Linked DNA regions of Coturnix japonica. The protein of the gene in region 2 purifies or fractionates together with the protein of the main gene of each other region. This does not show direct contact. Links are inferred from orthologs where the notes say so. Each region holds a gene or a part of one and is shown on either strand. Other genes may lie near its edges.

Region 1 (3,808 bases), on a different chromosome or scaffold from region 2:
TTGCTTATACTACATCTGCTAATTTCTTTCTCTCAGAGAACCCAAAGAAGTTCACTGAAGGCTGCACTTGAATGAACACTGCTACGTCATGCTTGCATGCAGTCACAGTGTAACAGAACACCTGTGTGTGCAGGACCCATGCAGCAAAAGGAGAGGTAACACTGTAAGAGCTCAAGCAGTGTGTGTGCTCACCTCTGGCTGCTTTCACATTAAACCTCAGCCTTCGTAAAGATTCTTCAGTATCAAAATTGCACTTAACCAGTTCATACAACGCCTGCAAAGACAAAAAGACATATGTTTAGTATTCTAAATAACACTGATTTCACACTGTGCCACAGAAACATCCTTCATAAAGTATTAAGACTTACTTCAAAAAAGGTGAAAAATGAACTGTTTGAAGGGCTGCATTACAATTTAAGACAGCACTTCCTGGTTAAATTTCCACAGCTCTTACCTACGCAACCAAGCATAAACTCAAGTGAAGTATTTCAACACTTTCACCCACTGCACACATTTCCAAAATTGACTTCTTTAAAGAAAATTCATGAAGTTTCAAAAAAACTGCAATTGAAAGAACTCACGCGCGATTACTTACACACAAAACCACATGCTGATGCCTAACACAAGGTTAAGTCAAAGTTAGCAGTCCAGAATTTGTCGAGAGGAAGGAACCCATGATATTTCTACTTCCAAAAGCAATAAATAAGCTGTTTCAAGCCCAATTTTAATTGTGGGGATTATAATAAAATAAAGGGATAATTCATTCTGTAATACTAAACTACAAATGCCACCTCTCACCACGTACCTGCTCGTTGTCCTTAATATGCGATCCCTCAGGAATGGCATCCAGGCCCTTCTCATCACCTGTGCGCCGTGATGCCTCGTTTAGGAACTCAATCACTTTATCTTCTGGCAAGACATCAGGATTCCACAACAGCTGGTCATCATTCTCATACACTGCAGGAAGCAGAGGAAAAAGAGAAGCAAGCTGAAACAGCAATATGGAAGCTTATCCTCTCCTGTAAAGCTAGCACTGATGGAGCCTCGGAGCATCAGCATCAATCCACACCTCAGGGCAGGTGAAAGACCAGCTCACAAACATGATCCCATGGGTAACACACTACACCTTACCCTGTCTTTCAATCTCTGCTCTGGATTCTGGGAACATGATACTCCACGAATTCCACCTGTGCGTCCTCCTGACAGATGCTACTTAATCACAAGGCAGCAGAACCAGAGCCCAGAACTCCCCACCCTACACTTCTATTTAAGCATCACAGTTTTACTGATGGCAGCAAGCAAAACTTTCAGAAGAGAAACAAAGCCTTCTGAAAGCACATCTTTGAATTCTGCTGGTTGAAATTCTCTAATGGCAGCTGCTGGTCCTCCAGGCCCAGCCGAGAACCATTAGCTTCATGCAGCACACTGGGCTCACCCTTTCTCACAAGAGCATGTCAGAGCAGCCAAAAAGCAACATGGTTCATCTTCAGAGCTAGTACTTTTGTGCACTTGTTTATAAGGGGGGGGATCCAAGAGGACTAGACTTCTTGAAGAACGAGAATGATGAGATGTGTGCATGAAAAAATACTCAACATACAGTCCCAGATATTTATTTTTGAACTCTTTAACTACGTTGCATTCATATTCCAGTTGGAACCCTGGCAAAAAGATTTAAAACACTGAAAAGGAAAAGAAGTGGCAACAGACAACAAACCCCACTGATACACAGAACTACAACAACCCCAGAACACTGGTGAAAATTTAACTTTCTTCCTCAACAGTTTTAGCCCATGGCTTAGGTTCTGCATCCTGCACAGACCTGTGCGCAAGGCTATGAGAAACTGCTCTACATAGGTTAGTGCAGTGCATAAAGCAGCCCTTTTTTATTGCTGGAGGCCAGAAGCCATTCAGAGCTGAGTAAACATGTGAGAGAGCAGGTGACTGATCCATAAAGCATAATTTGCCACATCCCAGGTAAATACGTAACTCCAACTCTATTTTTAGACAATAGCAGCAAAGCATGCAAGGAGCAACTTCCTCACAGCTAAAAAGTTGCGTTTAATGTATCTGTATTTTCTAATTTACCATTTTCCCTTTTTCACAGAAGCTCCTGAATTCTCACTTGGTTTTAAGCTACGTTCTTCTCAGTGTCAGCCCCACTGTTGGCCTGTTTTTGGCCAAGACCAGGAGGGACCACGTTTCCATTTTCTGTTGGGACCAGGCCGCAGTACAGCTACAGCAACCTGGCACCTAGAGCAAGACAACTGTCACCACTCGAGTATGTTCTCAGGTTCTGGGGCTGCACTGTTTCTGCTGGTTAGTTTAAAACTAACATACAAAAGCTGCAGTCTCAAACCAACCTGCAGTGTGAACAAATTCTTGGTAATGGGTTGAGTGAGCAGGGAAATTCCTGCTTTTAAGCTCAAGCTGGGTTTATGTGAGTCTGCCTTTCCTTGCTTCATTGTATTAACAGCATACTGCCAAAGGCTCTGCTTGTAAGAGGAAAAGAGCTCCTGGAAAACACTCAAGTAGTAGAACAAGAAGTTCTTTAATGATGATTGAAGAGTTGTAAGATGTGAAAACAAAGCTGCTGGCACCATTTCATCTCTATGACAGGTTAATCCAGCACCATCATTTCTTTACTATCCATTTCACATAAACGGAACAAACCACGTGAAGAGGTTAACATAACTGATACGAAAAGTTTGGCTCAACTACCAGGTTAGAATGCAAGGACTCGATAGGACAGCAATACCACCTATCTTTTACCCTTCCAAGTCTCAAGCTCTAGAGTTGAAGTACACGATGAGCTACAGTCTGGGATGATGGTTCTATTCTTCATTTGAAAGAGCTGTTACATTCCACAAGACATGTGATGTGAGTGCAACATATCTGTTATTGTTTCCCACTAGGAAATGAACCGACACACAGTAGCAAGCAATGCTGAGGCTCACCTTTTTCATTCTCTTTGTATCTGCATATGCCAGCTGGAATTTCAGCTTGAAACATAGAGCCCACCATGATTTCCTGTTTGGAAATAACAGACACCAAAAGTTAAGCAACCCCAGCCTTGCAGTTTTTTGTTAGCAAGTGAAAATATGTCTGTATCATCCTTTCTCTCTTAAAGCTTTCATCGCTCAAAATCTAAAACAACTGTAAATAAGCATTAGAAAAAAACACACTTTTCACTGTCTTTAACATTATTGCTACAAAAACACTCACATTTGTTGAGAAAAAAAGGGAGAAGAGTTATGAGATCTTTAGATCAAAGTTACTAGGCAGCAGCTCAGCTCATTATTCACAGAACACTGAGTTTGATAACCGACCTTAATATTTACCTTTTTCCAGTCTTCTGAGGGAATATAATCTTCATCTTCTTCAGACTCCTCTTCTATTTCACTGTCTAGGAGAAATGAGCCAACATGTACACAGAGCCATGCTGGGGCAGCGCTGGGGCTGCAGCCAGCCACTGGGAGTGCCGTGGGGTGAGGGGTGGACACAGGCAGTGCTGCAGCCCCACTCTGCCTCCCTGCCACCTTATCTCTCGCTGCAGAAGCATGGAAGGCAGGCCGGCTGGCACTGCTTAATGCTCCAGCAGTGACTGCCTTAAAAACGACCCACCCAATGTTTGTGTTTAGAACGGCTTGAGATACACAGCAGGCTATGAAAAGTGAAGGCACAAGTGGATGCATCCATCAGTTTTAGTCCTTCCTAATAAAACTCTGTTTTCCCTCACTCAGCTGTGAAGCAGTTGAGACTGTCCACATTTACAACACACAGTTACATCCTGAAAGTATTCTTGCTTGCA
Region 2 (4,330 bases):
GGCAGCACAACCACAGCTGCTTTCCAGATGAACCACCTACATGGTGCGGGGATTGTACTTCTAAGTATTCCAAGGAAGACGATGAGAACAATCAACAACCTCACAACAGGTGGGGATACAGACAGTAAAGTGAACTTGTCACAGCATACAAGAAAGTAGATCGAGTGCTTGCCGACTTCTCCAAAAGTTGGGAAAAAGGAAAGAAGTGAATAAATAAACCAACAAAAAAAGAAGACAGCGCTTTTGCTTATATTTTCCCTTCGCTGTCTTGTTCACCAGTTTCTCCAACTCTGTCCACCTCACCAACATGTTGTCACTTGAAAACTCAAACTTACAAACAGAAGAACTATGTTCTTAGCCTCACCCACGGAGGTTGGCAAGATTACTGAGTGTTTCATTTTTCATCTAGAAAAGACAGCCTCTTCAATGCTTTTCATTACAAGCTTCACATTTTCTTCAGATCATCTCCCCCCTCAAAAAAAAAAATAAAAAAAAATATATTTACGGTCATCATGTGTGTATATATATATATATATATATATATATATATATATGGTCATTACTACCACAATCCTGAGAAAGCTGAGAAACAAACATGCAGGATGTAGAGTCAGCCCAACAATGCCACCCCTTCAGCCAGCAAGAGCACTTCTTCCATGTTTCTATCCTTCAATTCCCAATCACTGACCTACAGTTAGGCCCCCACTCTCCAGAGATTAAACTCTCAGTAAAAGCAAAAATCGATCCACAAACAACTAATCCACTTCTTTTTTCTTTAATTTTTATTATTATTTTTAAAGGTACTTACCTTCACCTTTATTGTTACACAAGGATTTCTCTCTTATACTTTGGAAGAACCACAACACCTATCAGCTGTAGTTCATATTTTAGCTAATAATCTCAAATAGATTAAGCACTTTTTTTGTTGTTGTTTAAAACACGCTATCAAGATTCAAAAGAAAAAATAAGAGATAAACCAAATTACACTGGACTTCAATAACCAGTCTAAAAGAATACCACATAGCACTAATTACAAAGAAAATATCCACGAAACAGTCACTTATACGTGGTAGTTCACAGAAGGTTTAAGTTACATAATGTTCATCATTTCAGGTCAACTTGTAGTTGTGTACTTCCCAAGTTAGTATTCACTACATTTCAATCACCCGTGATTTCCGTAAATTGCATTACAGCATAAAATTGGTCAAAAATGATCAGCAGTTTAGAAAAGAGATTGCAAAAGAGACAGCTTGACCACCCACAAGTCCAAAAGCATCAATAATTTTAGCGCCTCCAATAAAGTTTGCACTTACATGGTGAAACAATGTGAGTGATTTTAAAATTAAACGGAGCAGTTTATCACCTCAGGTGTTCTGAAATACAGGCTTTTGCCCAAGGAACTGAGCACCTTGCCTGCCTAGCAAGAATGACCACGGTCAATGGCCTACCAGAACCTTTCAGACAAGCCAACACTTCCAACACAAGTCAACCAAGCAAAAGAATAAGCAGCGGTCACAGTTAACTTCAGCCCGATGTCCAACAAACAGTTTTTCTGGTCATTCTTACGCCAATCAAAACTGACAACCCATTGTCAGTCATTGAACAAATCCAGAAAGATATAATGTTCAAGTACTGGCCACAACACGGTCTAAAGGCCCAACTCTTCGAGCCTGACAGAACTTTTCCTGAAGTCAAAGCAAAGCCGGGGCAATTTTCCTCTATGGAGAGCAGTCTCTAAATTTCTCACCTACTTCCAGAGATCATCCCTTCAAGACCGGCTTAAGCCATGCAACGAGGGTGGGGAAACTTGCCAAAGCAATTAGCCACGATCTATCTGCCTTGGGAACATAGGCCTCCAGTCTTCCCGTCCAGCAGTTCAGCACCTCCACTCAGCACTCGACTCACATAGAACACGATCTCTAAAGGGGAGCCTTCCACCTCAACACAGGGATGCAATCCCACCAGTGGGAGACACCACCAGCACGGGAAGCTATCGCCTTCTGTCAAGCGTCCTGAAGGCCAGCCGGCTGCTTTGACCTTAGCATTCCAGCCCATGGATATAAATATTTTTTATAGAGCACTGCCGAGATGCCTATTACCCACCAGATAAAAGCATTCTTGTTCGGTGGAAGACTATTTATTCAACCGAAAGACAAGAAAACGACAACCTCATCTCGCTCCCAGGGATGACTTCTTGCAAAAATAAAAACAAGGAAGTTAAATCCAAGAGGACCATCATGCTTTTCAATTAAGGGCAAGGATGTGAAATTGACACACTCTCGGGACAGGAAATTCGAAGTCTCACCCTCCCGTGCCCCCCAACGCCGGCGGGCGGGGGATGGTGTGCGGAGCCCCGCTCCTCCTCGCACCGCCCCGAGTTCTCATCGCGGCGTTTCGCCCGGCGGCGGCGCACGATGGTGGCACGGGACTCCGGGACGGACACGGATCGGGGCCGAGCCCCCCCCTCCGCCCGACGCCCGGCGAGAACTCGGAGCGGCACAGCGGGCTGCCCGGGGGGCTGTCAGGGCGCTCCCTCCCCGCTGCCGCCGGGCCGAAGTGCCGTGCGGGCGGCTGCGTGCCGCGGGGAAGGGGGGGGGGGGGGGGGAGCGCAGGCCACGGGCAGCACTTCGCCGTCTTCTCCGTTCGCTCACATTTCCGTCCTCCCCCGGCGGAACCGGGGAGGGGAGCGGGGCGGGGGGCCGGCGGCGGTCGGGGCCCGGCGGACGGGGGAGATCGGAGCACCGCGTCCCCCCGCAGCCGCGGGCGGGGCAGGGTGGCCGGCGGGGCCGGGGGCAGGGCGGACGCCCGGGGGCTGTTACCTCGTAGAGTTCCTCGGAAGCCATGCTGGGAGCCTCACAAGGTGGAGTTGGGTGCTGGTTTGGAAATACTTTGTTCCACTTGGTGTCCGTGTGGCCTCCTCTTCTCCCTCCTCCTCCCCCGTCTTCTCCGTCGCTCTCCTCCTCCTCCTCCTCCTGCTGCTGCTCCTGTCCTCCTCCTGCTCCTCTTCTTCTTCTTCTTCTTCTTCTTCTTCTTTTTCTCCCTCCTCCTCCTCCTCCTCCTCCTCCTCCTCCTCCCTGCGCGTCTCTCTCCAGCGCAGCTAGCAGCTCCGCTCGCTCCGTGCCGCTGAGGTGCTGCTGCTGCTGCTGCTGCTGCTGCTGGCGGCGGGGCTGTGCGCACCGCAGCTGCGCAACTCGCTCGCTCCCCGCTCGCCCTCGCTCTCTCCCCCTCGCGCACCCCGCCGGGCGGGCACGCACGCACACACACGCGCGTTCACATACACACACACGCGCGTTCACATACACACACACACACACACACACACCCGGGCGCGCACACGCGGGGCGGGCGGGCGCGCACACGGCGGCGCGCCCCGCACCCCCACCCCGCTTGTCCCCGGCCGGCTCGCTCGCTCGCTCCCTCCCCAGGAACACTAATCGAGCGCAGAGACAGCGCCACACGTAACCACTCCGCCCCGGCTACCGCCGCCCCCAGCACCACCATCCTCCTCCTCCTCCTCCTCCCCCCACCGGGCTTTGATCTCCCATTGTCCGCCCGGCAGGGTCCGCGGGCGGTCGGGGGGCTCGGAGCAGCCGCTGCCCGAAGCTGCGGGACGAGCGCGGAGTTCCGAGTCGCCCTCCCGCACCCGCCCCGCTCCGACCCCCGCCGCCCTCTGGGCCCAGCCCGTGGCGAGTGTCCCCGTGGGTTTTCCAACCCGACGCCAGTTGGCAGAAGGTCTGTCTGAACCAAGGACGTGGCGAATGTAGAAGGGAAATGGGCGAGGGGAACGGCCGGTCACACAGAATCACACACAGAATCACAGAATGACCCGGGTTGGAAAGGACCTCAAGGATCATGTAGTTCCAACCCCCCTGCCTGGCAGGGCCACCAAACACACACATTTACTAGATCAGGTGTCCCCACCGATCGTTGCCGACCGCAAGCGCCAGACTTGCATCTGACAAGTGTTTGCGGTGTAGGGAAGGCCCCACTGAGGCCTCGCAGGCGTGAGGGTCAAAGGAAGACAGCTGAGCTCTTGTCTTTCTTGGTGCCGGCATGAATTACTCAATGCAACTTGCCACCCGACTATCTCATTTAGGGTGTTCCATGGGGAACTGTGCAAATAAGGTGTCTTATAGTCAACTGCCAACTTGATGGACTGGATGCCTTGTTGTGCCAAGTCAGACACGAAGAGTCACTCCTTCAAGAGCAGATTCTGCAAGGTGGTGTTTCTGGTCTTAAAAGGTAGAAGGGTGGGACAAAACCAGTCAGCCCAAGGTCAGGACAAAAGCTATACCAAATGGAGACACTCATTCCAGTGTTTCTTACCCTG

What was found.
Region 1: the proteins of CDYL (region 2) and MIER1 purify together in Homo sapiens (co-immunoprecipitation; 3 studies listed by BioGRID and IntAct, counting the BioPlex papers as one, with this or other methods). This does not show direct contact. The link is inferred for Coturnix japonica from reciprocal best matches to the Homo sapiens genes CDYL and MIER1.

What each region holds. Positions count from the first base shown.
Region 1 is NC_029523.1:25,756,773-25,760,580, reverse strand, and holds part of MIER1 (mesoderm induction early response protein 1), read right to left. Parts: intron 3,404-3,808; coding exon 3,327-3,403; intron 3,028-3,326; coding exon 2,955-3,027; intron 958-2,954; coding exon 806-957; intron 275-805; coding exon 193-274; intron 1-192. UniProt on the Homo sapiens protein: Transcriptional repressor regulating the expression of a number of genes including SP1 target genes. Probably functions through recruitment of HDAC1 a histone deacetylase involved in chromatin silencing.
Region 2 is NC_029517.1:63,734,643-63,738,972, reverse strand, and holds the start of CDYL (chromodomain Y-like protein), read right to left. Parts: upstream 3,017-4,330; 5' UTR 2,844-3,016; coding exon 2,820-2,843; intron 1-2,819.